3 linked regions of the Notamacropus eugenii genome follow. The protein of the gene in region 3 interacts with the protein of the main gene of each other region in a pairwise test. Links are inferred from orthologs where the notes say so. Each region holds a gene or a part of one and is shown on either strand. Other genes may lie near its edges.

Evidence for each region.
Region 1: the proteins of ARL15 (region 3) and PDE6D interact in binary tests that used the Homo sapiens proteins (3 or more experiments, as listed by UniProt). The link is inferred for Notamacropus eugenii from reciprocal best matches to the Homo sapiens genes ARL15 and PDE6D.
Region 2: the proteins of ARL15 (region 3) and UNC119 interact in binary tests that used the Homo sapiens proteins (3 or more experiments, as listed by UniProt). The link is inferred for Notamacropus eugenii from reciprocal best matches to the Homo sapiens genes ARL15 and UNC119.

Annotation. Positions count from the first base shown.
Region 1 is NC_092873.1:58,277,220-58,287,957, forward strand, and holds the start of PDE6D (retinal rod rhodopsin-sensitive cGMP 3',5'-cyclic phosphodiesterase subunit delta), read left to right. Parts: upstream 1-5,855; 5' UTR 5,856-6,101; coding exon 6,102-6,151; intron 6,152-10,738. Other genes in the region: COPS7B (COP9 signalosome complex subunit 7b), read right to left, coding at 1,062-1,223. UniProt on the Homo sapiens protein: Promotes the release of prenylated target proteins from cellular membranes. Modulates the activity of prenylated or palmitoylated Ras family members by regulating their subcellular location.
Region 2 is NC_092873.1:35,936,617-35,946,922, forward strand, and holds the start of UNC119 (protein unc-119 homolog A), read right to left. Parts: upstream 4,292-10,306; 5' UTR 4,185-4,291; coding exon 4,010-4,184; intron 1-4,009. Other genes in the region: PIGS (GPI transamidase component PIG-S), read right to left, coding at 5,864-6,139, 9,847-10,057. UniProt on the Homo sapiens protein: Involved in synaptic functions in photoreceptor cells, the signal transduction in immune cells as a Src family kinase activator, endosome recycling, the uptake of bacteria and endocytosis, protein trafficking in sensory neurons and as lipid-binding chaperone with specificity for a diverse subset of myristoylated proteins.
Region 3 is NC_092875.1:408,353,523-408,363,645, reverse strand, and holds the start of ARL15 (ADP-ribosylation factor-like protein 15), read right to left. Parts: upstream 4,738-10,123; 5' UTR 4,606-4,737; coding exon 4,558-4,605; intron 1-4,557.

The sequences.
Region 1 (10,738 bases), on a different chromosome or scaffold from region 3:
CACAACACTAACCAGGACTTCTATATGTGAGGTCGTCGTGGGGCAGACCTGGGGTACTTGGGCCTAACTCTGCTTCCAAGGGGACTGACTGAGGACCTCCCTAAGCAGGAAGGGCTGAAAGCAGTCATCCTAAAAGACATCTCCCTGCCAGCAGGCTTAGCCATCAGCTTCCTGCCCCGTTTTTAACTTCCCTGGGAATGAATTCTACATGGGCACAGGAATGAGCTGTGAGCAAAAGGCATGTGGAGCCTCAGGCTGAGGCATTCACTGCCCAGATGCATGAGTGCATGTGTTAGTGCACCAGTTGGCCTGAGGAACAGGCTAGAGGGAACATCACCTCGAACTAGACTTTCCAGAGCCCCAGCCTTCTTTGTAGAATGACTGGGAAAACATCAAAGATGGCCAGTAAGGCCAGCAACACCAAAACAGCTGCCCGGCACTTTGAGCTGATTCCACCTCACTGGTCACTTCGCTGACTCTGCTTTCCTTCCTCTCCAGTTTGTCCACAGAATTTCTTTCTGACTAAATTTTCCCGTGACCATACCGTGGCGCATGGCTCTAACAAGGACCTCCCCAGAGAAGTGCCTCTTGGGCTCCATCTCCAGCTGCTTCTGGTCCATCCCAGCATCCTCCCATTCTCCACACCTGCCCTGCTCTGCACAGTCAGGTCAGCAGGGGTTTACCCAGAGCCTCCAGGAGGTCATTTCACATCATGCCACTCCTGGTCAGCTTCCTTCAGCCTGCGTCTGCATCGCTAGTGAATCGATGGGACACTATGCCCACTGAAAACTTTGGTTTTGTTGGAATTCTAACTCATAAAGGTCAATGGGAGTTTTATTCCTGCCTTCCAGAACACCTGGAAGCCTTAATGATGCGCTTCTTACTTCCTTCAACCAGATCATCGGCAAAGATATTAAAGAGAAAGATCCAAGGCCAGGTCTCCCCTACCTCTCCTCCTCCTCCTCCGCCTGGCCCAGTGCTATTAGCCAGCTCTAAGCACTACGGTTCCATAAACCTGAGATCCCTGGAGACCTTGGGTGAGAAGCCCAGACAGCGCTTACCTCCTGCACGTTGGACAGCTCCAGCAGCTCTCCAAACACGTACACTCCAGGTGCCTCCAGGACCTGACTTATGAGAGCGGTGAGGGCTGAGCCATTGGTGCCTTTGGCTAATAAAATAAACTGTTCCAGGAGATTACAGGAGGGTTTCTGTTCACCTGCCATTCTACGACCTGGTAATCTAGTCAAAAAGAAAACCTTATCAGTCAATTCTCTCCCACTCTATCCCATTTATACTGGTCTGGCTTTTGACTTTGCTTTTATTGTGCCTATGATAAAAGCAAACTTCTCCCAAGATCAGGAACAAGTCATCACCCTGTCATACGGATCTAGCCCAGACAGAAGGAAATATGCTCATTCTGGAAATTTAAAATTCATTTAGAAAAAGCCTCTCAATTCCTAGTCAACAGATAGAAAGGACTGCTCTCCAGGTTCTTAGGCAGATCTACATCTTGAGAATGAAAATGCACATCCTCAGGCAGAGCACAAGCAAGCCCGCCAGCAGACACAGTAAAGACTGTTCTCCGAGCCCTGAACTTTTTACAGAAACAATCTAGAGCCTCAAATGTGCTTGGAGAGCTCCTGAGCCAGGCTACAGCTAGGGCAGCAGAGAGAAATAAGGGAGCCATCCATCTTTGGAGGAAAGAGAAGCTGCTGCTTCTACTAAACCAAAGGCCAAGGTTTCATTTGAGTTCACCGGCCTCACCTCCACCAGGTGGGCTCCCACCCAAATCAAACCAGAACCAGAACAGAGGCTGCTGGGGACCCACAGGCTCCTCAGATCTGCCTCCACCACCACACGTGGCCAGGGCCTGGAGCACCCCCGTGGGGAATCCACAGCGGTGAGGACACGTGGAGGGGGCCTCTCTCAGTCTCAGACTGCTGGGGAGATGGGCAGGGGTGCGGAGAGGGGTGGGGTGACTGAGGAGGGCAAGAAATGGAGGTGGAGTTGTTAGTGAAAAGGCAGTTTTGGGGTACCCAGGGTACAAGAAAGGCGCTTTCTTCCTCAAAACGTTACATGTTGGATAAGGGGCGAGGGAAGCCCGGCCAAGGGGTGTTTCTGGGGGTGATCTGCCGCAGGAGAGCTAAGGCAGGAACCTCGAATATCCCCGAAGCGGGGTGCTGGGGGCTCTCCTCTGAGCCTCAGAAGGAGCACGCTAAGTGAGGGGCTCCGGCGGGGGTCCCAGACTCTCTGGGGAATCTGGAAGTGCCTCTCCCCACCAGGAGAGATGAGGGCGGCCGTGGAGGGGACCGGGGGCCGGGGGCCGAGGTCGGGAGAGGGGGGCTGGTGCTGCCATTGTGGTCCCCAGGGGGCAAAGGGGAGGCGGAGGAGCCCCTCCTGCCCCCCGGGACCCCGAGAGTGTCCGGGGCTGGATCTGAACTCGGGTCCTCCTGACTCCAGGCCAATAAACTCGGGGGCTACAAGCCTAAGGCAGCTTCGGGGGCGCAGGCCCAGGAGAAGGAGCGGGAGGGGGAGGCCTGAGGCCTGGAGGTGGAGGCAGCTCAGAGGGGGGGCACAAGGGGCCTTAGGAAGGAAGAGAAGCGAGGGGGGCTGGGGGAGGGGAGGCCTCGGTGGGGGCGGGGCTCGCCCCTCCCCTCGCTCACCGGAGGCGGCGGGTGAGGGGGGCGGGGCGGACCACCCCCCCCCAGGAATGCCCTCCCCGCCCCCTCCAGCCCGGGGTCCCCCCAGCTCCCCCGGGGCCACCCCTGCTCCTTGTACCTGCCTCCGCCGCCAAGGCTCCGTCCGTCCGCTCCCGGCGCCTCCCCGCGGGTCGTCAGGCGGCCATCATCGCTCCGGGGTCCGCCGCTCAAGTGCCTCCGCCGGGCCGGCCCTCTCCGAGGCCCCCTCGGAAACTCACCGCCTCTGCGCCCAGGTTCCGGCTGCAGCACGTGGGTTCCGGCGCGCGCGCACGCGCAGTCTCTCCGTGCCCGGTTTTGCCCAATGCGCAGACTCCGCGGGTCAAGGCCTTCTCGCTTTGCGCATGCTCGGCTCCCGCCCCGGCCGGACAAAAGCCTTCCCCGCGCGGCGGCCCCGGGATAGGTGCTTTTCGCCTCCCCGCCCCCAGCCCTGTCCACGTGCCCCCTCCGCCCCTCCCCCCAGGCTCCGCTTGAAGATCTGCCGGGAGAGCGCCCCGCGCTTTAGCCCAAGTCAGCTTGGACCGCTGCGGGCCATCCGAGGTGTATTTATGTGTCCGGAGCGGTCCTGAGACAGGACACGCACACACACGCACACGCAGCCAGCGACCTTTATTTTTTATTGAAATTCCCCCTCGGGACAGTGAGAAACTGTCAGCTGGACTAACCAGATGAAGACACCTTTCTGTGCAATGGTCAGCCTCGGCAACGACCCCCACCCCACTAAACACAGTGTACTGTTGTCTGGTGAGACCCTCTCTCAAAGGGGTCAGTCCAGGAAAGGTGTAAATTAGGGATGAACTGAGTTCAAATCCAGCCTCAGACACTTCCTAGCTGGATGGCTCTGAGTGGGTCACTTCCCCCTGCTTGCCTCAGTTTCCTCATCTGTGAAGGACATGGCAAAGCACTCCAGTATCTTTGCCAAGGAAACTCCAAATGGGGTCACAGAGTCAGACAAGACAGAATAACAACACTATGGGCTTCTTTGTCCTCTTTAATTGAGGGCTTTGGGAGGAAATAGGTGCTCAGTCCCTTAATCAGAGAGGCAGAGACTAGGATGAGGCATGAAGAGCAAAGCTTGAGGATGAATTTTCTGGAGTCACAGAAGCAAGTGAGGCTTTGCATGACTATGTCTATCGTCTATTGTTACTGTGGTCACAGCTATTTGCTGTGGATGTCATTCTTAGGTGAGTCCCTGGGATGCTCCTTTGATATCCTTTCTTCTGTGGTCCAGTGGCTGTGAGCTCCAGAAGAGAAGGGATAGACCATCTTTTGCCCTTCTTTGTAGCCCCAGTATTTAGCACAGTGCCTGGCATACAGAGAACACTTAATAAATGCTTGTGTACTTGTTATAGGTTGATATGTATTTGCTGTTATGGTATATAACTACAGGTGCTGGGCTTTTTGCAGCTGATTTTGCGAGGGACTACAAAATGTTGGACTGTCTACTTTACGGAGAACACGAATCACCAGCTCTGGTGATTGAGTGCTTTGCTTCCCTGGCTTCTTTCAAGTCTCAACTAAAACTCCATCTTCTTCAGGAAGCCTTTCCTAACCCTCTTAATTCTAGAGCCTTCCCTCTGTTAATTATTTACTATTCATCCTGTATGTAGCTTGTGTACACCTATTTGTTTGCATGTTATCTCTTCCACTGGATTGTAAATTCCTTGAAGGCAGGGAGTATCTTTTGCCTTTTTTTTTGTATCCTCCAACTCTTAGCCTAGCACATAGTAGGAGCTTAATAAATGTTTATTGATTGATATATTGTGGGGAACATGGAGATGACAGTCCTTATTCCTGTCTTCTACCTTACTTCAGCTTGTTATGACTGGCACCCATTTCTGGTTGTGTTTTTGGTTTTTTTTGTGGCTGTTGTTTTTAATTCTGTATCTGCATCTGACTGATCAAGTTTTCTTCCTCCCAATAAACACCTGCGGATGACCCTTTCCTGTGCATTTCCTCATGGCTCTTTGTCCATCCCATGAGGGCACAGGCTCCCTGGGAGCAAAGGGACTTTTTTTCACTAAGCTGGAAAACCAGTCCCCCAGGCCATTGTTAGACAGCTTTTTCTTTCCAATTCAGGGCATGATCACAAACATTCAGACTTTTCTAACTACATATCCAAGGACAGTGTCACTATCATTCTGGAGGTTTCATTCTATCAGACCTTAAGCCTAAGCTGTTCTAAGTATACACTTGGAGTTATGTATGTCATAAATTTGAGGATTTGGAAAGGACAACACCAGCAATTGGGATAATAGTCAAGCACTTAATGCAGTAATCTGAGGTTTGCAAAGCACTTTACCTACATGTGTTATTTCAGTTTAATCTTCATAATAACCCAGGGAGGTAAGTGCTATTATGATCCTCATTTTACACATGGGGAAACTGAGACAAAGGTCAAGTGACTGGCCCAGGATCGCACAGCTGGTAGGTGTCTGAGGCTGAATTTGAACTTGGGTCTTCCTGAATCCAGAATCAGGCAAGGGTTAATGTAGAAGATGGTGCCTGAACTTGTCCTTGAAGGAAATATGGGGGAGAGAAAGAATGTGAGAGGGAGAGAAAGAGGGAAGGAGAAAGAGAGGAGAAAAGAGATGAGAAAAGGAGTGGGAGGGAGGAGAGAAGGGGACATGGAGGGAGAGAAAGATGGAGGGAGAAAGGGGAAAGGCAGAAAAAGAATTAGAGAGGAAGAGGAGAGAGACAGAGACAGGATGGGGTCAGGGAGGAAGAACGACCCACAGGAGCCCCACGCGGTTGGATGTTTACGAACGAGTCCACGCGAGTCTACCTACGCGGTGATCCAACCGAGCGAGAGCAGCCTGCGGGACATCATGGGACTCGTAGTTTCCGGGCCTCTGAAAGCTTGTGGCATGCTGGGACTTGTAGTCCCCGCGCTCAACTCTTGGAGCAGAGCCCCAAGGTTGCCGGCGGAAGAAACTGTTTTTATTGGCTCTCACCCGGTCCCGGGGCGCCGCGGGCCGCAACGCAAGCGGAAAAGATTGACCCAAGGAGGCTCCCGTCTCGGGCCGGGTGGGGAGGATGACGACCGAGAGACGGTCTTCTGGAGGGACGCTCCTTCTTCCCCCGCCGAAGCCGCTCCTTCTCCTATTGGTAGGTTGAGCTGCCCATCCACAAAGAGGGGCCGGCCCCCGGCAGGATAGCGGTTTCCCATTGGTCATAGGGGCGGAGGGCGGGCGGCAGTGGGGGAGGGGGGCGGGGACCGCTGCCGCCTCAGTCGCCGCCGCCTCTTCAGCCGAGAATCCCGCTCCGGCCCCCCGGCCCCTGGCCCGGCCCCGGCCCCGGCTCCGGCTCCCTTTATCGTCGCCGCCGCCGCCGTCATCGTCGCCGCCGCCCGCCGCAGGTGACTAGCTCCGGGGCAGCGCCGCCCGGAGCCGCCGGCGCCTCGTCATGTCCACCGAGGACGAGCGGGCCCGGGAGATCCTGAGGGGCTTCAAGCTGTATCCGCCCGCGGGGGACGGTCGGGCCTGGGGGCGTGTGTGGGGGAGGGACCCTGGGCCTGGAGCTGAGGGGGCGGTGGCTCCTCGGTGCCTGGCAGGAAAGTCGGGGCGCCGGGAGGGGAAGGAGGAGGTGCGGGAGCAGCCCTGGGGGGCGTTAGTGCTGGGGCGCCCCGCACCTTCGCTCGTGCTTCCCACCCGGGGCTGGGCTGGGCTCGGGACCCCTGGGGTGCGTGGTGGCCAGTTGTGCGGTGCCCAGGGCGACGTTAATCTGTAAATGCTGTGTATAATCCCAGCAGAAAAAGAGCGTAATCTTTCCACGTCGACTTGGCGGCATCTTTATCTCTTGTTTTGCTCTTAAAGTTTGCTACAATCAAATCGCTAGAGATTAAAAAAAGGCTTTCTCCAGCTGTCTGCTGCAGTTAGCTGGCCGCCCGGTGTCCCCACCATGGCTGCACCTTCCTCTCCAGGGGTTCGCGAGGGCTCTCTCTGCAGCCTTTTAGCCTTGCAGAAAGCTTCTTTCCCCCTCCGTGTCACGCTGCCCGCAGTTTAGAACACCAGAAAGGCGAAAGCAGCTTTGTGGGTGAGACCGGAAATGGAAGGAGGGCAGCTGTGAACATGCCCTCAGCCTGCTGACTTCCCTCTCCCGAAAACTTTGAGCCTCGGGGAGTCAGGGCTGGAGCGGAGCTGGGCTGCCTCTTCCATCGCGTGGCCTTGCTCTTCTGGGAAGGGTGGACAGAGGCAGGCGTCTATTTGGTTCCACTCCCGTGACTGTGGATTGTTTCTTCCCATTTTCCTCCAGCATTGCTGGGTGCGGTCGTTTAACTTCAGTCTTACCTTCGCCAAGCTAGAGAGCAGCTTCGTTTTGATCTGGTTCAGATCGATCTGTTGCTGGAGATCAGAAAGCATCTAGGGCTAGTTTGAGTGAAGCAGGAAGTGGGAACCGCCTTTCCTTTTTAAGGGGGTTTGATTCTTGAGAAAACTGAAGGAGCAGCTAAATACACATGAAGGATACTGGTAAGCATTCAGAACCCGTGGCAGTCTTCTAGGTAAGAAGGGGAATTCATCGATCCAGTAGGGGTGTGTGTGTGTGCTGGGACACAAACTTGCCAGGAACAAATTTAGGGAAAGATAATATAGAAAAGAAAGGATGGGAGCCATTGATCAGATCCCCTCCAATTGTATTCTTTGGGCTAGTAATGCCTGGTATATGAGGGCTAAGGGTGAAAAACTAAGAAGTTACTTTTAGGTAAAAATAACATAGGTCTAAGTTTTGGTAACTTAAGGAGAATTGTCTCAAGACCTTTTTGTATGTATGCTTTGCTTAGATGTCTAATCTAACATCCTTTCAAGCTAAGAGTAACTGTGATGTAGAATTTCTACACAGTGGTACAACCACACCTTGGCTTCAGTGACTGTTCTCTCTCGAATCTCCTCCTACCTCTTTGATCCTTCCTTCTTAAGTTTCCTTTGCAAGATCATCCTCTTTCTCCTGCTCCTGTGTGTAAGTCCCTCTGGACTTTGACCTGAGTCCTTTTCTCTTTTCTCCCTCTTGTGATGTTAGCAGCTCCTGCGGGTTCAATTATCATCTCTTTGCTGATCTAGTTCTAATCTCTTTCCTGAACTTTAAGCCCTGCATTGCCAAGTCCTTGTTAGAATGTCCAAACTGGAAGTGATTCTCAAACCCAAACTGATCCTCAAACTTTCCTAATTCTGTGGAGTGTACCAGTACCCTTCTAGTCACCCAGGTTTACAGTCTTGTAGTCATTCTTTAAAAAAAACCAAATTTTCATTGATACTTTTTGTTTTTTATATCATCAGAATTTTCCCCACTCTCCCTTTCTCTTTGCCATCTCGTATACCAGATGCTATTTTTTAATAGACACAAAGGGGGAGAAAATCAGTACAGCCAATTAATACATCGAAAAGAAGGTCTAAAAATACTTACCAGGTGTAACACCTACGTCCCTCCCACCTCCACAAAGGAATGGGTATGTCGTCATTCCAGTTATCCTTGATCTTTGTAACTTTGCTCCATTCATGTTTGATTTTGTGTATGTCAGTGTGGTTCTTTCTTTTAATATTGTTGTAATTACTGTGTGTATTGTTTTCTCAGCTCTGCTTACCTCATTCTGTATCAGTTCATGCAGCTCTTTCTCTTTCATGCAGGCTTCTCTGTATTCATCACATACATCATTTCTTACAGTACAGGAATATTCCTTTACATTCATGTACCACAATTTGTTTAGTCATTCTTCAATCAATAGGCATCTACCTTGTTTCCAAGCCTTTGCTGTCACAAAAAAATGCTGCTTTCAGTATTTTGGTGTATATGGGGATTTTCTTCCTATCAGTGAATTCCTTGGGGGTTAAGCCCAGTAATGGAGTCTTGGGGTCAAAGGGTTTAGGCAGTTGGAGTCATTCTTGATTCTTTTATCTCTCTCACCCTCTACATTCAATTAGTTGTCAAGATGTGTAGATTCTACTTTCACATCTGTCCCATCAGTTTTCCTCTGTGCAGCTCATATTTTAGAAGATCTCACCAGCTTTCACCTGTCCTGTTGACCTCCTGGTTGGTCATCCTGCTTCTGATGTCCCCTCTAAAGTTCATCCTCCACAGAGCTGCCAAATTGATATTCTGAAACCATAGACCAAACCTGGCCATTCTTTTACCCAGAAATCTTTGTTCATTTCCTCTTGCCTCTAGGACAAAATTCAGAACCCTTAGCCTGGCATTAAAGCACCCCACAATATGAATCTCAACTACCTTATCTGTCCTATTTCTCATTACTCTCCTTCACACACTCACTCGTTTCAGTCATGCTGGCCTACTAGCTATTCCTTGGTAAGGACGCTGTACCTACTGCCTTCATTAAGGCTCTCCCGGTGCTTGAAGGGCAAGCTTAAAATCCAGAGCTTCCTACAAAACCCCAATGACGGACTGCTTCCTCCGTGTGACCCTGCTTGTACTTTCCCCAGTTGGTCACACCCTCTTCACTCCTAAAATTACTGTGTATTTATATCAGTTATTTATCCCTGTGTGTGTTGCATCCACTCCTCAGGAGATTCTGAACTGCTTGAAAGTATAAACTGTTTCCTCCACAGGAACCCTGCATAGTACATTTTAAAAGTAATTTTAATAGAATGTTTTTCAAGTAATTTCAATAATTAATCGAATTGTAGATTAATCAGTTTAATTGCATTATTTGGCTAGATTTTCTAAGCATGGTATCTTTGACCAGATGACCTTCCACTCATGGTGTCCTTTTTTTATTAGGCATTTAATAAATATTTGTTGTTTAATTCATTATTCATTCATTTTTAGTTATGTCCTACTCCTTGTGACCCTGTTTGGGGTTATCTTGGCAAAGATACTGGAGTGGTTTGCCTTTCCTTCTCCAGCTCATTTGACAGATGAGGAAACTGGGGCAAATGGGGTTAAGTGATTTGCCTAGAGTCACACAGCTTTCAAGGGGCTGAGGCCAGATTTGAACTCAGGAAATTGGGTCTTCCTGCCTCCAGAACTGGCACTCAATCTACTTTACCACCTAGCTGCTTGTGGTTTGATGATGCTCCCAAAATGTTAAGTAAATGTTTTTAAACTTAATGTCTAGATTTTCTTGGTCAAGAAAAAGATAATTTTTTAAAAAAATCCTTTCCTTTCCTTCCTAAGTGATAGTTTTGAATGTCTTTGGTCTATTTAGTTTTAGACTACAGCTGTCTAGGTATAGAGAATGTTTGGGAAATACAAAGACTCAGCATTTAGGTAGGTTTCCTGAGTTTAACTTGGATTATCAGAAGATAACTGCATATGCTTTGTAAGGAATAGTGATAGGGAGGGCAGAGAAAGAGAGCTCCCTGAGGAAGCTGTGGGTGCCTCCAAGCAGAGACTCAGACCTCCTTCAGCCTGCAGGGATGGCAGCCCAGAGATCCTGGCTCAGCACTAAGAAAGTGTGAGTCTGTGAGGCGTATCAGGGGTTACAAGAGTAATGTTGGCTAGGTCAAGGTCAAGAGGCTGGGTGGAGCTGTGTGGGCAGCAGAGGTACTCAGGTGGGAATGAGACAGAAGATGCCATGGCCCTTCAAGGGGGGAACGAAAACAGAGGCAGGGTGCAGTAACTTGGTGAAAATCAAGTCATTTGAAGCCTTGAAGATGATTTTTCCTTGTTGCTTGTAGAGTATCAGGCCTGAGTCCCACGGCTTCTTTCCAGCCAATCCACATGGCATCATTTCCTTCACGGGATTCCTGTAGACTTTATTGTCTTTACTGCTTATTTGCCACTTACCAACATGTGTGGCATCATTGTGGATGACAGTTGGCACTGATTAAAGTGCTGAAGGCCATAGTTAAAGGCCTCACTTTCCCTCATCCCAAATTGCAGTCCGCTTGATCCTATCTCCGGCACAGCTCTGCCTCTGTGCAGTGTTGGGTCTGGAACAATGCTCAGGGATTGGTGAGCAAAATGTGCATCAGTTCTAGGTGTCTGTGGCCAAGCCTGAACATTTAGAATGCCCAGTTCAAGGATTTCCACTTTACGTACCCCATGGCGCCTCCCCCCCCATCTTCTTCTCATTTGCCCAAACTTGAAAC
Region 2 (10,306 bases), on a different chromosome or scaffold from region 3:
AAAAACCTCAAGCCCTCCTGTCCTCCCTCGGGGCTACCTCGTCCTCTCCTTCCTCTTGATCAGGTGGAGAGAGGCCCAGGGGGACCCTAGAAAGAAAAAGCCCAAGTCAGTGACAAATGTCAGTGACAAGCAGGAAGATAGAGTCACTGGAGAGCTGCAAAGAGTGATAAGGAAGTACAAGCCGAGTGGCCTGAGAGGCCACTTAGGACCACAGCCCTGCTCAGGAAGGGAGGAAAGGGTGGAGAGACATTGTAGCAGGCCCCTCCGATGGGAGGATGGGCCTGAGGTAGAAGCCACAAAAACCAAGCCTAAGTGTCCCTCAGACTTGTCTCCCAACCTCAGAGCCCTTAGAAAAGCAGGTTCTCATGGGAACTGTCATCCCCCCCACTCCCCACCCCCCACCTGCATCTCCTCAAGCCTCTTTCTGCCCCAGCCCCATCTTGGCAGTCCTGAAGTCTCCCCCTCTTTAGAAAGGATGAGGGAAATGCTGTCTCCCCTTCCCAGGCAGGGAACCCTGGAGACCCCCACTGCCAGCCTTGTCTCCTGACAAGTGATTTGCTTTTCCCCCAGTCCTAGGCAAATTGGTCAAGGCTGACCCTTCTCTCTCTAGGAGAAGCCAGGGCACTAACACCTCTCACTGTATGTCCTTGGGCAGCTCACTTCCTATTTCTGGCCCTCCTTCTTCTCCTTAGACAAAAAGCTCAGGTCCAAGGTTCTCTGGGATAATGACTGCTCCCACAGTCTCTCTCTAAGTTGGGTCCCATAAAAATCACAAAATTTTAGCCTTGGAGGGGAGCTCTGACCACTTCTCCCAGACCTTCCCCTAGGTCTGATCCCCTTTTAGAAGGCATACACTATTCCCAAAAGGCCCTCAGGCGCTGTGGACCCAAAAAACCAGTTATGTGCCCTTCTTGCCTACCTTCCTCCAGCCCCTGCTCTCTGGGGGTGGGGGTCAGGGGTGGGGAAGAAGTCCAACTGGTAACTATGTTGTCAAAAGACTGGGGAAAGATCTAGAGACAGAGGCGCTGGGGGCCAGTTCAAAATGGCAGATGACTGACCTAAAGGACAATGGAGTGTTTCGAGGGGAGGAATTCCCACACTTTCCCCTAGCCTAGGTTGCTTAGGTCACAAATGCTTCACTGTCTTCTCCTCCTCCCCTATCAAGAGCTCAAGGCCCAGGACAATCCTGGAACGGCTGGTGTCAGCAGCCAAGTGGGAGAGGGGGGAGGATCTTATGAATCTCTGGGAGATTGGGAGAAGGGGGAGGTGTGGGGGTAACAAGGGTAAAGGACAGGAGCAGAGCCCCACTGGTTAACTGCTCATTCTCCAGATGGGACCCTGGGGATCAGGGTTAGGGGGTCTCAGAACTGAAGGGAAGAAGGAAGTTTGGGAGGGATAAATGAATGGGCTGACTGAAAAGGAGAGGAGGGCTGAGGACAAAAGCAGGGTTCCTTCCACTGGCTGGTTTGGCTTTGGGGTTTTTTGGTTTTGTGTATTTTGGGTTTTTTTTTTTTAGATAAGACTGAGGTGAGTCAGCTAGACTAAGACAAGAATAAGGTCTTCTTGAAAGAGAGAAGGGTTATTTTGCTGACCTGAGTTAGCTCTTCCACTTACAACATGAGTGACTTTGGACCAGTCCCTTAATTTCTCTGGACCACAGTGGCCTCATCTGTAAAAGGAGGGGCTTGGAGAAACCCATTCCTAATGTCTCACAGGTTAGTTTTAAATCCTATGATCCTATGAAATCGACTTTCGCTATCAGCACAGAAAATAAAATGTGAGTCAGGAGGGACTGAGATCAGACCCAGAGAAGGACTTCCTGTTTGGTTTCTGTCTTTGTAGTCCCATGGCTCACTATGGCACCTGGAATGCAGGAGGAATTCAGTACAAGTTGAATGAATGAGTGGCCTAGAGGATGAGCTAGGTCCTGGTGCCCCATCCTCGGCTGAGGAGGCTGGCCAGAGGCTGGAGTCAAACCAGACAAGTCCAGGAGAAAGGCAAGGAATGCAAGACAAGATGGGAGACCTCGAGGCTCCATGAGCCCACTCCTCAACAGTAGCTGTTTCAAGCATCCTCCAAGTCTTCTGCACAGGGAAATTCCTCCTTAGAGCTGACCTGCCTTCTGCCTATCACAACTTAAGCAGAAACCCTTTCCTTAAGCCCTTTCCATTAGATAAGGGCTCCTTGAGGGCAGGGCCTTTCTTTGTATCCCCAGTGCTTAGGGAAGTGCCTGACACATAAAGGTGATTAATAAATGCCTGCAGACAGACTGATGGATCTCTCTCCCTGGTCTAACCACATCCAGCACCATATACACATTTTCCTGTTTCTTTTCAGTCTGGGTCAGAATGCCCAGTGTCCCAGGGGAACAGTCCAGCCTAGGCAGGTCCTTCCTTCTGTGTTAGGCCCCAAACTCCAGGGTAAGTGGCTGATTGAGAAAGAAGTTCAGGGAGATAAAGGAGGAAGGAGTCTACTCCAGCTTAGGGTAAGAACAGGCCAGATTGGTCTCGAAAGCAAAGAGAAGAATCCTTGGGGAAGCCCACCTCTAGTAGGACACTGTGTGGCCCAAGCCACATCACATACTAGACCCTACCCCACTCACCCTCCTTACCTAAGCCAAAGAGGTCTAGACTGGCCAGGGTTCCACAGGGTTCCACCTGGGTTCCACGCCTTGGACCCTTGCAAAGGGGCCCAGGGCCAAGCCTTGCTCCTACCTAGCTTCTCAGGCTGTAGTGAAAGACCTTTCCCCTCCACCCTGGATGGTGGGAAAACAGAGGTGTCCCATCCTGTCTCACCCTTTCCCACAGGCTCTCTGCCTTGTGACTTCATCTGAGCCCTCTTTTTGGCCCTTAGCAGAGACTGCTTAGTGACATACCCTGTACCAACCATTATGTAACGTTTAATGGGTGTGAGCTGTCTCATCAGCCCGGCTGGGAGCTCCTTGAGAGATGAGATTGCTTTACATAGCTAGGCATCCCTGTATACAGTAGGCACTCTCTTTTGATTATGGACATACTCCCTGTCTCATTTCTTTTTCCAGATATCAGGATCCTGGAGGAGGAGAAACTGAGGCCTCAAGATCATCATTTCAGGAGCATTCTGTGATACCTAGCTCCAGGACCCAGAATTCCCTGATGGTAACAGTCAGCCAACTCAACAGATGCCCGGTGGCAGCAACCAGGGGGTTACAGGTAGACCTGCCCCTAGCCTGGAGTCTCCAGAGACAGCTTCAAAGTCAGGTGCAAACACCCCCCAAATGCTTGTCTAGGGACTAGAAGATGACAGGGAATACTTGGGCATACAGTAGCCCCTCTGTTGCCATAAAAAGGCTATCCTGAGGTGCTCTCTTGGACTGGGGGGGTATTGGGCCACTGGCTTAAGACAGAGAGATTAGTGTTCAGGGTCACCTCATTGACCTCAATCCCTAACAAGTAGATCAGAGACTGCTCCCGGGCTGGGAGGAGGGGCGTGTACCTGGAGGGTCCTGCCAGCCCAGGTCTCCCCCGCACGAACTGGTATTTTACCCCAAAGTGCCTCCCCTCCCCCCAATCCTAATGCCCAGACGTGGTGAGGGTCCACTCAGCAAGTACTGGGCCCTCCTTGAAAGTCTAGGTCTGATCTAGAACCTTGCTGGGCAACGCAGCTAATTCACCCCATAGCAAAGAGGGTACAGGAGGAAAGGAAAGACCACTGCCCTCACTGCCTTGCCCCGTTCAGTCTAAGTGGAAACGGGGGCAGGGGCCAAGCCCATAGTGAGCAAAAGGCAGCTCCCAGGAGGGAGGATGGAGAAGAGAAGGTAGGACAGGGTCTGAGGTGGAGAGAATGGGTGGGGCGCAGGGAGCGGAGAAGAGGATGGAGGGGCGCGGCTAGAGCCCACGGATGGGGTGGAGATGATGGGGCTGGGGCCGGGGAGGTGCGCGCAGAGTGCATGGTCCAGGAGCCTCCCTGGGGACGCAGCCCTCCTCCCCAGCCGCCCCCCACGCCCCGGAGCCCCCCACGCCTCCCTCACCGCACGTGATGCGCTGGAGCCCCAACACATCTTCGGGCCCGATCAGCGCCTTCCTCCGCAGCGCCAGGGGCTCCGGCTCCGATCCCGCCTCGTCGTCCTGGCTGCCCGTGGCCCCTGGCCCGGGGTCCGACCCAGCCGCGGCCCCGGCCCCGCTGCCGTCTCTCTTCACCTTCATGGCCCCGCTCCCGGCCCCCGGCTGCCCCTCGCACCGCCGCGGCCGTCCGGAGCCCGCACAGCGGGGAAGGGGAGGCAGCGCGATCTGCCCGGGTCTGTCCGGCCCAGCCTGGCCTCTCTACTTCCCCAGCCCCCCACCCTCCCCCCGCGGCTCCTGGCCCCGCCCCGCCCCAGGTACCTGCTCTCTGCTCCACCCCAAGGCCCGCCTCGCTGCGCGCCCCTGGACCTACATCCCCAGCCTTCCTCCCTCGGCGCCTCTCCCTTCGCATGCCCTGCGCTCGTCCCTTCTCCCCACCCCCAGACTTATCTCCGAGTCCCCCTCCCCCCACCTCGCCGCTTCACCCCGAACGCGCAGGGAACACCCTCTCCCCCAGTGCCAGCCTCAGTGGGAGGGGAAAGGACAGTCCACTTGGGAAAGCAGATGGCTCAAAATAACGTTCAGAGCTGGCACCAGGGCCTGGGCGTGCGTGGGAGAAGGGTGAGGACCATTCTGAGCAGGGTCCCTCCCTAAAGGGGAACAAAGAGATCTCTGAAATCCCATCCCAACCGGCCTCTAAGGCCCCAAGGGGCGCCTCTCATCCTGTGTCCCTACCGGACCACCCCCAGGAAGTCAGGCTTAAGGTCTCGGAACCAAGGCTGCCCGTGCCCCACTCCAGAAAAAAGACTAAGGGGAGACACTGAAGAGATGTAGGGGGAGGCAAAGCTGGATTTTCGAGGGCCCAGTTCAACCAACTGAAGTGGATGGGGGAGGGAACAGGGCACCCAAAGGCCAGATGGCATTTTGCTTCGGCAGTGCCAGTTCTGGGAGCAGGGGAAGGGAAATTACGAAGGCCAGAGCTGTAGAGGCCAATCTCCCTTCTTCAGTCCAGGAGGCTGAGGCTCAGGCCCACCTGCTGTGCCAGACAGCAGAGGGCAAGGGGAAGGCCAGAGAAAAGGACTGGCAATCTGTTGCAAACCTCTCCTAAGGGGATATCTACGGCTTTCCCCCACCCAAGGGGGCAAAAGGAGCCCCAACCTGGGCAAGGCCAAGTGATTCCAGGCCTGCAGCTAGTGATGCCTAAGCCATCCATAAGGAGGCTGAGAAGGGGGAGTGATTTCATAGAACAGGGGTTCAGCCATCACTTCTAAGGGAACACCGGCAAATGTTGGTGCTTTTTTGCCTGGAGCAAGGCAATGATGAGGAGTCTCCCATTCCATACACTTGGGGTGGTTTCCTCCACCCTGAGTCTTTCTCTGTCCAAGTTTGCTGAGACACGTGAATCATTGGCCCAGTAGCAGTGTGCCACCATTCCGTACCCTAAGAGCCTCAGTTTAAACCAAGAAGTGAATAAAACATGGGCAATTCATGGAGGGCCAGAAGACTCCTAAGACTTTTATTTCCTTTTCAGTTTCCTCTCTTTCTTTCCCTTTACTCTCCCAACCCACCAAGTTGGCTGATCCCTTATGAGGGAATTGAATGAAAGAGGTCCTGGGCAGAGCACTTCTTGGAGGCCCTTCCCTTTGCCCACCCACTCTCCCACCCACCCAAAGGCCTGGCCTCTGAACATAAGGACATGCAAGTAAGGACAGAGAAGAGTGAGGTTGTCCAGAATGGGGCCAGGCCACTCCCAAGAGCAGAGATTCATCTGCTCTCCAACTTGCCCCTCCTTTCCTGAGGGAGCACTCTGCCCCCTCACACACTCAGTCCACCTTCTCAATATCCTTCCTGACTTTTTGGTTCTCCACAATAATCTTGATCATGGAGAGAAAAATGGGCACCGCCATGGGCAGGAAGAGGGGGATGTAGATGGCGAACTTCTGGTCATCAGGAAAGTAGAGGAGGTGGAGAAGGGAAGGGTCAAAGAAGGCCTTCTCAGAGGAAGTCACCGCCTCTTGGCTGGCTCGGAGAGCAGGCTTCAGGTTCCCTTCAGACAGCGCCACTGCCGCCTCGTGGAAGGCGTCCACTGCCCGGTACACCTGGGCAGGAAGACACTGATCAGCAGAAGGGCCTAAGCTAGGCCAGGGGAGGGGAGAGACAGCAGTTTAGTGTCTGCATGCCACTGACGTCCTGGGTCACTCTGGGAATTCACTTAAAAGGACATCCAACACCCTCACCTAACCCAGGAAGGGGAAGGGCAAAAATACAGGGTGATCCCATGGGCTACTCTGAATCCCTCCAGGTATCACCAGGATTCCCTGGGGGGCTACCAATGCCCTTCACAACACCATGCAGAGGCTGCATAATCATCACAGGACTCAGGAGGCTGGAGGTGCCACCTGAATGGGTCCCTTCCCCATCCTACAGATGAATAACTTCCACCTTGGGATTCTCAATCTGTTGAGTCAGATGCCCTCTGCTAAGTCAAGTCTTTCCCCGACTCTCATCCCTACCAACCTTAGCCCATAAGTTCCCTCCATCCTGCCACTCAGGAAACCCCTGGCCCCATCCAGTGTCACACACACAGACACAGACAGACACACAGAGACACAAACAGACACACACACACACCCAGAAAGATCCCACTTATTCCATGTTTCTCATGACCACTTCCAGACCCTCCCTCCACATCATTCCCCTTTCAGCTTCATTCAATCCTTCTAGATCACTTGGACCAAATTCTTGTTGCTATTAACACTCCTGTCTCCAGGCTATATACTCTGTCCTTTCCCAAGGGATTCAATCCTCGTTCAGTCATCATCTTCACCCCAAGACCTGCACCCCATACTTGGGGACTTTAATATACATGCTGATGTTCCCTCAAGCATCGAGGGTTCTCCAGTGCAGGGAGAGATTAAATGACACACCAGAGAGAAGAGAGCCCAGGACAAAGACTTGAGATGCCCATAATTAGTGCATGGGGGTTGGCTGAAGATCTGACAAAGGAATCCAAGGAGGGTTTAGGAACCAACCTTAACCCCCTACATTCACCGTCATTTCAATTCTGCTGCTCAGAGGGGTGCTCATACTTTAAATTGCACCATCACCCATAATGGTGCCAACTCCAATTCCAGAAGATAATGCCCCATCCTTCCATCTCCACCTGCTCCAATCCTCCTCCGTCTCTTCATCTGTCCTCCAAATCCATCCCCTGTGCCTGGGCCTCCTTTCTCTCCCCTTAAAGTCTTCCCCTAGAGATGCCAGCTTGGCTGGAAACATCCTCAACCAGTCAATGGCCAGGCCCACGTCCATCTGCTTTCCATGCCCTGACATTAGTGTTGCTGAACATTGGCAGACAAAGCACCCAAGTGAATGTTCATCTCACCTGGGCCTTCCAGCCCAGTGCCACTAGTCTGATTCTTCCAGCTTGATTCGATCACAAAGCAGTTCCAAACCTTCCCTCTCCTCCCTCCTGAACTCCCTCCTCTTCCCCATGACAGCTAGGTGGTGCCATGGTGCACAGAGCACTGAACTTCAGACACCTATTAACTGTGACCATGGGGAAATCACTTCACCCGACTGCCTATTTTGACATTTAAAATGGGGATGGAAAAGCACCAACCTCCCACAGTTATCATGAGGATAAAATAAATTAATATATATGCTCACAGAGGGCTATATGAGCTCCACCCCTCCTACTACACACCTCAAAACTCCTGCACATTCATGTAGTCTCTTCTGACTCAATCTCCGAGAAAGCAGTGGTCCTTTCCTTTGCCAAGGCTCCATCTATACCTCTGAGCCTCCTCTTCCCTCCTGTCTCAGTCTCTGACTTTCTATCTGGTCCACTCCCATTCATAAAAAAATCTCCACTAGACCCGTCATCCCCTTGAACTATTACCTTCTCTCTCTCCTTTCCCTTTCAATGTACTAAGATGCTAGAAAGAGTGGTCTCCTTTCACCCCCTTCCTCCCAACCCCTCTACTCAACCCAAGCTGTTCTCCCCAAGGTTACTGACAAGCCTGAACCACTAAGTTCCATGGTACTTCTTCTGCCCCTACCTCCTAGGCTTCTGCACCCTTTGCCCACCCTTCCTTTCCTTCTGAATACTCCTCCCCTCCCTGGGACATGGTCCTCTCCTGAGAATTCTCTGCCAGCTTTTAAGCCAGCTCCCACACACTAATCATGGGCATCTCTTAAGGCTTTGTCCTGGACCCTCTTTTCTTGTGTCATTCAAGGGTTGCTGGCAATCTCCTCAGCTCACATGGCTTCAATTATCAACCCTACATAATGACTTCCAAATTATAAACCCAGTACTAATAAGCTCCTCCCCTCATCTCTGGCCCTGAACTGATGTTCTCCAGGATGTTCCCCCACACTCTGTCCAAGGTGCTGCCGTCCTTTCATAAACTCCATCCCCCTGATATGGTCCTGCAGGTTCTGTTCCCTTCACCTGTCTCCCATCCATCTGCTTTCCTTGCCCCTCTCAGGGGCCACCCTGCTCCTGCAAGATCTCATCTATCATCCCTCTCCTAGACACTGTAACCGCTTCCTCAGTGGCATCCTCCCCTGTCCACCCTAAGCATTGCGAGCTCCCAAAATACTATTCCTCCATTTTGGAGTATGCACAAGAAAAACTGGCAATGAACCGTTTCAACCTTGGACTCTAGAACTGTCACTCCTGGGCACAGGCTCCAAGGAGGTCAGAGACAAGAGAATGAGGGTGAGGGCCCGAGGGCTGTTATCAGGGCCACGTCAGCCAAGAGGCCAAGGAAGACTTCGCAGCAATAAAAACCTGGAAACAATGTGGATGGACTGCCAGTATGGCAATGGGATGGAATGTTAGGAAGAGGAGAAATAATGCTAGCAGATGCCATTTCTACAGTGTTTCAGAGTTGACAAAGAACTTAACACATTCTCTCCTTTGATCCTCACAATACTATGACCAGGTGCTATTATTACTTCCATTTTACAGATGAGCAAATGAAGGCTGAGTGAGGCTTAGTCACCTGCCTGGGGTCCGAGATGCCTGGAGCCCATGTCTCGTCCATGCTCCACTGTGCCCACTGACTAGGAGCATGAAGAATTCAGAGAAGTGGGGAGATCTGCACCAACAGCTGAAGACTGAAGTCAGCAGGACATGGGGCACAAGAGCCCTGCCCACATTCACCAATGCTGACATGCAGAGGGGTGGGGATGGAGGGCTCATCTGGACAGGGTGATTGTGGGGGAAGGCAACACAGACAACTGACTATCACATCAAGATGAGGAGTGCCAAGTCTGGAGTCAGAAGACCTGGGTTCAAGTTCAAGTTCAAGTTCCTCCACCATTTACTACCAACCCAGTCTCGGTGGGTCCCATCCCCTGCCTAGGCCTCAGTTTCCTCCTCTGTCAAATGTGGGAGCTGGACTCGACGATCTTTGAGGTCAGTTCCAGCTCTAGATCTAGGATCCTACCCTATACAACAACCTGCTATGACTCCCTATGGCTACTGAGATACACCCACTCCCTGGCCTGACACCTGAGGTCTTCCACAATCTGTCTCTAAGCTCCCTTCGCAGCCTTATTCCCACAAGGTCCCACAAAGTGCTCAACACTACACTTACTTCCAGTACCTACACAAACCACACACCAGACCCGTGTTCCTTCCTCATCTAGGCCTCTAAGAATTCTCATCATATTCTTATTCAGGCCAGGCAGTGGGAGTCCAGATATCTTGGGAGAACAGGGGCTAGCCTTTCCTGGCCTTATATCCCTAATACACAGCACAGTGCCTGCACGGCAGGAGCCCATACACAACACACACCTCAGAGGCCACATCATCCTTGATCACAATGTTGCCAATCTTGTCTAGCAACTCAGCAAGGGAGGTCAGAGTGGTGGTGACCGTAGCCAGGTTCTCCACGGCCCGGGCCCACAGCAGCCTGTCCAATTCCCAGGACCTCAGGCCTTCCCTTGGAGGGCTTCCCAGAAGGAAGTTGTCTGGCATCTGAGGGTGGGGGATCCCAAAGAGTAACCTGAAGGACAGATGAGAGAAATAGGTCGGGGTGGGGAGGGCAGGTGAGAGAGCTGGGCCCTGGTCCATGCTGGGTCTGGCCTTTGATGAGGGTATTAAGGGAAGATTCAGTGGCTGCCAAGATTGTGGAGGTGCCCAAATACCCTCAAGACCCTCACTGTGTCCCCCATGAAGCATCCCCTGATGCATGGCACCCCGTTCCCTCCCACAAAGGAGCCAATGTGCTTTCTCCTCCACTCTCCCCAACCCT
Region 3 (10,123 bases):
GTGTTCATGTATTGAGTTGCCCAAATATGTGCATTCAATTGTCCTAACCCTGAGTTCTCACTCTCCAAAGGGGAGAGAAGTATCACAACCAAACTTTACAGAATCTCTCCTGTTTCTAGAAGTCAGTAGCAATAATTCAGGAACAAGTTTTTCCTTGTATGGCAAAGGGATATAAGAAGAATGGGAAGTATTGGAAAAGTAAGATTAAAGATTCCAGTTTTCCCATTTGGATGAGTTTAAGTAAGTCATTTAGAAAGAGCAGGGCATTAGTAGAGAGAAGGGCTGTCTCAGAGTCAGGACAACCTGAATTTTAAATCCCTCCAGATACAATCTGGCCATATGACCCTGGGCCAGTCATTGGCCCACTCCTTAGAATCTCAGGAAGCTCTAACCAACACTTTAATTGGAGGGGCTGGGGGGGAAGGGAGAGGAGGAAGTCATTATTGCATTCCATTGGTTCTATTAGGTTCAAAAGACTAGACCAAAATTTCACAGAAGCTCCAGATGAGGGAATAAGGGAAGGGAGGGGAGGGAGAAATCAGCTGTCCAAGAACTAAAATAAAAGGAGCCCATCAAGGTTTCCTGGTTAAAAGCACAATACTAGTGGCATGCAAAGATTTCTTTTTTCTTTTTAAGTTGCCAGTCAAGCTAAAAAAAAAAAAAAAAAAAAAGTCCTATCTTGATCTCGACCTTAAGAGAAAAGGATACATTCTGCATTCCCTAAAACAAAACACCTAAACTAAACAGATTTTATCGTGTTATTTATTATCTGAGCTTTGGTTTCAAGTGGTGTCCATGACAGAAAATACCACAGTCTCTTCAGTCACATGTTTCATATTTTGGAACTAATTTAGGTTTATAAATCGACATCAGAGCATACACTTCTTGCTCTATAAAAGTTCACTTATTGAAACAAAAAATTTTTAAACTGTTAAGAAAGCTACAATGCTATTACTGTCCTTTTCAACCTTACTTAAAAACACTCATTTTCTTATTACTATGAAAAAAATGGCAAACTCCTACTAGCTCCCAAAACTATTTTTAATGGCTCATTTCCATTAAGAATTGCAACTCCACAATCTCATATTTCTCCATTTTTCTTCATTCTCCAATCATAAAAGGGGGAAGATGATGATTACCCCCAAAGAATGAGGGGTAATATGCAGAGCTCCCTCTATGAGACACCAACAAAAAGTTGGCTATATTATTAAAATAAAATAGGCAAAGTTACACATGTCCTTTCAATTTTGTGTTAGTAAACAGCAACCCTGCAAAGGGTAGAAGCAATATGGTGGAGATCCCAGCATAGTCTGTAAGTTTGGGACACTACAATTTCAAAAAAAGAACATACATTTTCATCTGTGGAAATTCAAGAGAACTGATTTATTTTAGAAATATTCTGTGACAGTCAAAAAAATTGATTTGTAATAATTAACACAGGAAAGACATGACTAAACAAGTTAATCCCCTGAGGGAGGAAAAGCAAAGGAGGCTGCTGAAGAAGTAACAGTCTATCCAATATATCATTTCATCAGAATAGAGGTAGGAAAAGGCATGGGTTTTGGTAGAAAGAACACACGCTATGGAGTGAGTTCTTAGAAGGTTAGCTTAAAAGTGATGATTACTGTCCAAAAATTGTATTTAACCTTCAGGATCAATTGGAGCTTCTCCAAGTCCCAGCTAAAATCTTACCTTTTACAAGAAACCTTTCTGGATTGCCCCTAAACGCTAGTGAGGTTCCTCCTGTTTTTATGCTCCAATTCATCACATATATAATTTGTTTGTACCCAGTTGCCTGCAAGTTTTCTCCCTCAAAAGACTGTGATCTCCTTGAGGGCAAATATTTTGTTGTTGTTGTTGCTTGGTTTTTTCCCTTTTTTTCTTCTGCCCTTCTTTGTATCCCCGAAGTTCACCACAGCACCTGGCACACGGAAGAGCTTGTTGACATACCCCTTATTATGCTACAGTATGACACTTTCCTCAGAGAATGCTTTCTCACCCTCACTTGATACCCAAGCTTAGACTTCTTAGAATAAGCATAGGGGAGGCTCCTGTGATTTCATCTGTGTAGCAAGTTAGGAAATTCACTCAACCCATGAAGGCAGACACACTTTCTCCTCAAGGTACAGTCTTACTTGACTAGAGCCCTGAGAAGTGTAAAATGACTTGCCTAGGACCACACAGAAGCAGAGCATGAACCCATACCTTAAGGCTCTCTGTATTCACATGCCATGCTGCCACTCGAAGCCCTTAATTTTTTAAAAATGATAATTGCAGAGAAGCAAATAGAGGCTAATTTGATTTTTTTGAAGACCAAAATTAGAGAAGGAATAAAAGATGAGGTTCATCAGCCTAGATATAAAGGTGTGTCATCCCAAGATAGAGTGAACTAATCAAGAAAATGAACCTGCTCTTGTGGGGATCACTGAGCCCATAAAGCAAAGCAACTGCCAGGGCAGGTAGGTGGTACTGTAGATAGAGCACCCAGCTCTGGAATCAGGAGGACCCAAGTTCAAATTCTGATTCAGACATACTAGTTGTGTGGCCCTGGACAAGTCACTTAACCCCAATTGCCTCAAAAAGAACGAAAAGTAACTTCCGCCCAATCTATGTCTGCATGAATCCTCTTAACTAAGCAGTTTCATCCCACCAAATTTAATGTTTAAAAACCAAACCTAATGGCTACTTTGGCACAATGCAAGACAGACTTAATGATTCAAACATTAAATTTGTGTGTAACTAAAACATCCTACCTGAGATATAAATACTGACAAAATGATGACATAATTAGAGACTCTTCATTTTAAAGCTTTGCAGGAACCACCAACAAAACTTTAGCTACTGTCATACTTTTCTATAAGTCAATTTCCAGCTACAATCTTTAGCTTTTATTTGGATGGACTCCAAAAAGGTATCTTGTGAGGAAAAATACAATTTATATTCGAAGATGTCTCCAGAAAATAATCTGGACAGCCCACCCAACAAAAATAGTCATTTTGCATTTCATAAATGACCTTCACGAAAAAATAACTAATCTCCAAATCTTCCTTAGAGCAAAAGAACTGTATCCTATTTTTCAAAGAGCCCCCTAGAACTCTTATTAGTAAGATTTGAACTGATTTCTAGACCTCTAGGCAGGGCCCAATTCACATAGCCATGTTTTAACTGAAAACACTCTGTAGGCCCACAAACTCTTCAAACCCTGGAATTTCTGACATAACCCCAAAATGAACTCAAGTAATCACAACTGCACAGCCAACATTCAAATGTCAAGCAAATATTGAGTAATAATTTAAACATTCAAGTATCAAGCAATTGTTAGGTTATAAATTAAACTTGTTGCTCATAGCACCTAAACTTGAAAACAACACGTGGCCCGTATATTTCAAAACAACCTGACAATTCCTAGAAGGCACTTGTCAAAATTCTGCCTGGCCAATCCTGCTGTCTAAAGCCTAGTGGATATGGCAAACATACAACCAGATGATGTCTAGGTCACTATTTTCATCCACTAATGCAACCTGGCACCGATTCTGGGTGACACGGTAAATTTTACTAAACTATTTAGCGTTTTGCAATGAAACAGATTGTCCTTATAATATTTGAGAAAAGGAGTTTGGGAGCAATACTTGCTGCTTGCGGACACACACACACACACACGGACACACACAGACACACACACACACACACACACACTTGCCCATTCCGTACTCCCCTGGCCTAATATTCCCACAATCTCTGCCCCAAACAGTATTACAGCAGCATTCCTGAAACTGGCTGAAACTTCCCCGCAGCCCGGCAAGCAGGCAGACCGAGCCCAGGTTCAAGACTCGCCGGGTGCCCAAGGTTACTACGGAGCTAGCTCAGTGGAGCGTGCTTTATGTTCATGTGCTTTTTAAAAAACCCAACAGCGACCCGGGGTCACAGCTTTAGAGGTCTAATAACAGCCAAATGACCAGGGCTGCCCGTGCGCTGCGCTGAACCCATTCGGGTTATGGGTCTTTAATAGTTCTTTGCAGCCTGCTTAAAGAAGGCGAAGCTGGAGCGACCCGGGAGGGGCAGAGGCAGCCAGAACCTCGCTCCCGGGGCTGCCAGGCTGCCAGGCTGCACGGCTCGGGGAGAAAGAGGGGCGGGGCGGGGGGAGGGCGAGGCAGGGCCCCCTTCTCGGGCAGCCGCTGCCCATCCTCTCCGCTGCCTCGCACCGCGATCTTTACCCGGAGCTGTAAATCTGCTCGCCCCACGACTGCACCTTTACCTGTCAGCTCCCCCACCCCCCTCTCCTCCTCCTCCCCCCCCCCCCCGTCCCCGCCCCCAGAGTGGGGCAGCACCGCAGCCCAGCTGCCAGCTCAGGACCGAGCGCGGGGCTGCCAGGGGGGAGAGGGAGCGGAGAAGGGGGGCAGCGGGGAAAGAGGGAGCGAGAGAGGACAAGAGGGGGAGGCAGTTCCCCTCCGCTGCCCGCCCGCCCCAAAAGAGGGGAGGGGCGGGAGAGGCGAGGCGTGGGGTGTGAAGGCGAGGGGCACCCCGCCGCTCCCCCAGCACCGACGCCGCGGACCTTACCAGATAATCCATGTACAGTAACGCCTCAGTTATCCGAAGATCAGACATCCGGCAACCTAAAGCATCCGGAACGGCTCCGAACCCGGAAAAAAAAGAAAGCGTCTCTGGCAGCGAAGCGACCGCCCCCGGGAAGGCAGCAACAGCGAAAAGAGCCGAGGGCAGCCGAGCGGACGAAGATTACACCAGCCGCGCCACGATTGGTCCCTCCGCCGACCAGAAGGAAAGAAGAGCTCTCATTGGCTCTGGGTGCCTATAAAAGGCGCGGCCGCCCGGCGTGAAAGCGGAGAAGCGCGGGAGAGCGGGTCCGGAGCAGATCCTCTGGGAGCTGGGACGGGAGGCTGGGGGCGTGGGGAGATGAGGAGGAGAGCAGGAGTGGGCGGGCCGCCGAGGGGTTCGTGGGCAAGTGCCACGGCTGGGGGCGGGCCCGACGTTCTCATTAAAGAAACAATCCTCCCCGAGAGCTTTGGAGATGAGCTGAAGTCCCAGCGTACGTTCGATAAAACTCCATTCTATAAACACCCACTAGAAGCGTTGGAGGGGAAAAAAAGAGGCAGAAGACAGTCCCTGCCTTCAAGGAGTCTACATCTTCAATTTCTAGGGCTTAGTTAAAAGAAGGTAAACAACAGATCTACGTTAAACCCTGAAAGAGTTTACAATCTGATCGAGGGCACCACATGCAAATGTATGCAAAGCAGGCTGTATACAGGATACATAGGAAATAATTCAAAAAGGAAAATCAATATTAAGTGTCTACTAGGTGGCAGCAACTGAGATGAATGCTGGGGATGAAAAAGGCAAAAAAAATAGTCCCTACCCTCACGGAGCTAATGGGGAAAGAGACAATGCAAGAACTAGTAATATAAGAAGCAAGCTATATATAAGATACATAGGAAATAATTAGCAGAGGAAAGGCAATGGAATTCCGAGCCCTTGAGAATGCTTCCGGTAAGAAGGTGGGAATTTAGTTGATTGGATTTCTATTCAAACTCAAATCTTCTGAGTTCAAAGCTAAACTGTTAGTGCTGTGAATTATCTCAGTAGTATGCATCAAGGACATCCTCAGGTAGCTTTTATATGGTGCTATAAGGTTTGCAGAGCCTTTTACAAATATTTCATTTAATCTTCACAACAACCTGGGTTATAGTTTGCTGTTATTATTATCTTTCTGTTACAAATGAGGAAATTGGCAAACATAATTGACTTGTCAGGCAGAATCGTCCTCAATACTGAATTTGTGCCACCAGCTTGGGGAACCTTGCCCTCTGAAATAGATTTAAACTTGCTCTGAGGAAACACAAACTACATTTCAAGTGGATGTTTGTGTACCACTTGAAAAAGACAATGCTATCAGTATGTTGATGATCAAATGGTCTACCTATGTTCTATATATATTAAAGGCAGATGTTTAGGGTTAGTTTTTTAACATAGATTTAACTAAAATTGTTGCACACCTGAACACCATATGTGTATTTCATATGCAGCACCTGGACTGTTTTAGATGAGTGGCTCTTAATGAAGAGGAAAGAGGAAGCCCCTGTCTGTGATCAAACACTGAACAAAATGTAAAATATTTTATGAGTCAATGGGCTTACTGAGCCATTTCCTTTTTTTCTGATAAGTGGCTTTAGAATTTCAAAGTGAGATCTGGCATTATTAGAAAAGACTAAAATAAAACTTAGCTAGAGTCTTTTTAACAAAATCACTTTACAAATCATAAAGGACTATGTATGCTTCCAGTCTTTCTGCTCTATATACAGCTGCCAAAATAATCTTCCTAAAGTACTGATCTGACCATGTTACTCTCCTGCTCAACAAGCTTCAGTGTTCCCTAATCCTTCTAGGATAAAAAAAAAAACTCTTCTGTTTGCCATTTAAAGCTCTTTACAAAACAAAGCCAAACTTATTTAGTTCACATTTCTCCACTAATGTACTCATCATGTTTACTGTTTGCCTTATGTGACACTGCAACCATCTTTCTGCCAGAGTACTTCACTCCATCCTGTACCTCTGACTGGGCACTTGCTCCCAACCTGTAGGACTCTGTCTTCCTGATTGCTGATGGTTCACCATATCTAGCAGGGCCCTCATTACATCTACCATACTGTACTACAGCCTGGTAATAATAGTTACTCCCAACCCTTCCTCTAGGAACTGTACGTACCCTTTTTCTAGAAAGGAGGAATCAGTCAGTTGTCCTAGTACTTCACTAATCCCATCCTAGAACCTTCCCATACCCTAACGGGGACCCATTCGTGCAGTCATTTTAGTTGTGTCCAACTCTTCCTGACCCAGTTTGTGGTTTTCTTTGCAAAGGACCTGGACTGATTTGCCATTTCCTTCTCCAACTCATTTTACAGATGAGGAAACTGAGGCAAACAGATTAAGTGATTTGCCCAGAGTCACACAGCTAGTAAACGTCTGAGGCCAGATTTGAACTGACCCTTCCTGAGGTCATTACTCCCCTCTATGTTTTGTCTTTCGCTATTAGAATACAATCTCCTTAAGTGCAAGGATTGTCTTGCTTTTCATGTTTATATCCCTGGTGCTTAGCACAATGTCTGTGTTCTAGTAAGCACTACATAAATTCTTTTTGTATTCAACCATGACTTTCATTTCCCACCCTAAATGCTTTTACTCTGGCTGTGTACCTCATGGCTAGAAAGCATCATCTATTCATCAGCCTCTTTGAATCCCTAAGCCTTAGCCCTGGTGCTACTCCGGACATAAATCTTAATTCTCTGCCCTCTAAAAATTACTTTGAAATTACGTGTGTGCCTGTGCCTGCACATTTGTATATCTCCCCAGTAGAATGAAATTTTGCTAGTTCATGTAAACTGCAACAACAAATTGATACAGTGCCTAGCAGAAAGGAATAGTAACTGGACCTGTGGTTTCATTTATAGGAATCTCTTAAAGAAGAAAACTCTCTTTCCCAAGGAAGGCAAGCACCTTTTGTGCAACTTACCTTGTATGCAGTTGCCTGAACCACTCTGAAAGTCCAAGTGGCATGTCTGGGGGACCCTGAGCTATGATGTGTCAGAGGGTAAGACTTGAACCCAAATCTTCCTGGTTCCCAGGTCAGCTCCGTATCCACTATAACGTGATGGTTTTTTTTAACCTTGTAAATAGTAAGTAAAATAAACATTTGTTGATTAAATACGAATGGGGGGAAAGTAGCAAATCATAAAACTGCAGAAAAATAATTTCTTAGAAAAATTTGTAAGCACAATCAATCCCTTCCCTTGACCATCGATGGTCAATTCTGGCCATGCTTGCTCCACCCCCTCAGGTGCATCTTATAATATAAAATCTTTGGTAATTCCAGTCAACATTGAGTATCTTATTTGTAGCATGTTCACAGCTGAAGAGGGTTGAGGGAAAGTGTTTCTATGATGAAACAAAGAATGCAGCTAGGTGACCCTAATGCACCGAGCTCTGAACTGGAAGTCAAGAACTGAATTTGAAGCTACCTTGGATACTTAGTAACAGCATGATCCTGGGAAAGTCCCTTAATACTAATAGTAGCTTATAGCTAACATTTCTTTATGTTAGGCACTATGCTAAGTGCTTTACAATTGTCATCTCATTTGATCCTCTTAACAGCCCTAGGAGATAGATACTCTTATTATCCCTATTTTACAAATGAGGAAACAGAGAGAGGTTGAATGACTTGACCAAGATCTCACAGGTAGTAGTGCCTGAGAACAGATTTGAACTGTCTCCATTTTATCATCTATAAAATGGGGATTAATAGAAACATATACCTCCAGGGTTGTTGAGGGTAAGTTGAGATTATATTTGAAAAGTGTCTTGTAAATCTTAAAAGCCCTGTGCAAATGTTAGCTATTATTATTGCTAGCTATTATTATAAAAGCATGGGGTGAGCAAGATCAAGAAGGCTAGCTAGAAAGTATATAATATTTAGGGAATGGTAAGTCCAGCTAACCTAGAACCTACTATATAGAAACATAGATTTAGCATTAAAAGGGACCTCAGAAGTTATCAAGTTCAAATGTCTAATCCAATTTTTCAGATGAAGAAAGTGAGGCAGAGAGAAGATAAGTGATTGGCCATGGGTCTGATGTGGTTTGGGGTTGCTGAGAACCCCGATATGTCAGGGTACAGGCAGTGTCCACCAGTGTCCACTCAAAACTTCTTCCAGTTTAGGAGCAGTTGTTGTAAAGCAATAGTAATGGGCATGGTTCCTAATGAACCTGCAACTTAATGGGGGTGGGACTGATGCTTATATACAAAAAGAACAGTGAAAAGATCTGGATCAGATTATGGAGTAGTAAATAGTCTGAATTGGGCCAGATACTACACTTAAGGAATATCAAGTAGACTAATTAGATGATCTAGAGGGGATTAAGGGGTGATTGGTATATGCAACTAGTAGGGATGGGGGGCAGCAAGATCGGCAATGAAAGGAATGTCAAGGTGGTCTGGGGTGGGCCAGTTGTCTTGGACTGAGGCCAAGGCTGAGGCTCTAGTGATCTGGGCTGCTGAAATATATGGGAAAATTCAGGGACTGGGTTGCTTTTAACAACATGGTCTTTTCCTTTTAGGGGTTCAGGCCCTATCACCCCATCAGGTCAAACAAATAGCAAGAAAGTTAGACTAGATTTAAATCATGAGAAATTCTACTGTCCTAAACTCTAGGACCTAGAACTTTCAAAAGGTAACTTATTAGTGGTTGGGAAATTCCAGTGTCCAAAATTTACTTGTTGATTTAAAAGCATGAAATCTTCTTGCACCTTGGGTGAAAAAACAACTTCACTTATAAGTTTAACTGGGGATAGCAAATCTGTTACTATTATTATTTTATTATTATTATACTCAGTCCAAAGAAGTTGAGTTAGTATCTGGTAATCCTTTTACCATATATTTGTCAACCACTCTTACCTCAGGTTCACTGTCAATATGGGGCAATAATGTCAAACTCAAATAGAAGTGGAGCCTATTGACTTAGAAAACCACAAATTAACATTACCTATGTTGTATTGCATTTTTATTTTATTAAACACTTCCCAATTGAATTATAATCTGGAAAAAAAAAATAGTGGCCTGTGAGTGACATCTTTGTACTAGACTATTTATTTATGATACAAAATATCATTCCAGAAAAAAAAATGTGCAGAAAAAGAAACCTATGCTGTCAATTTCAGGAATGAGGTTTGAGGTGAGGGGTGGGGCAATATTTTTTTAAGAGGAGTACATTTTTGGTGCCTTTCTTAGGTCACACTATTCTAGCCCCTGTACACAAATCAGACTACACGCTTAGAGAAGAAAAAGAACCTTTTTGTGACCTAATTTAGCCACTTATTTGCAGTGGGAGAAAATGGTCTTTGTTCTTTCTTCCTTCCTTCGTCTCCCTGATCAGTTTCCTCTATGGAACCAGAGGTGATGCCTCTAGAGGCAGCTGCCCATCCCATTTGTCTCAATGGAATTTTCAAAGAATCACTGAGATTCCTTTTGTAAGGAGCCTAGGATTCCCCAGGGTCTGCTCCATTCCAGCTTCCATCTGGGAGATAGAAAGAAAATAAAGACAATTTACAGTTGCGTTATT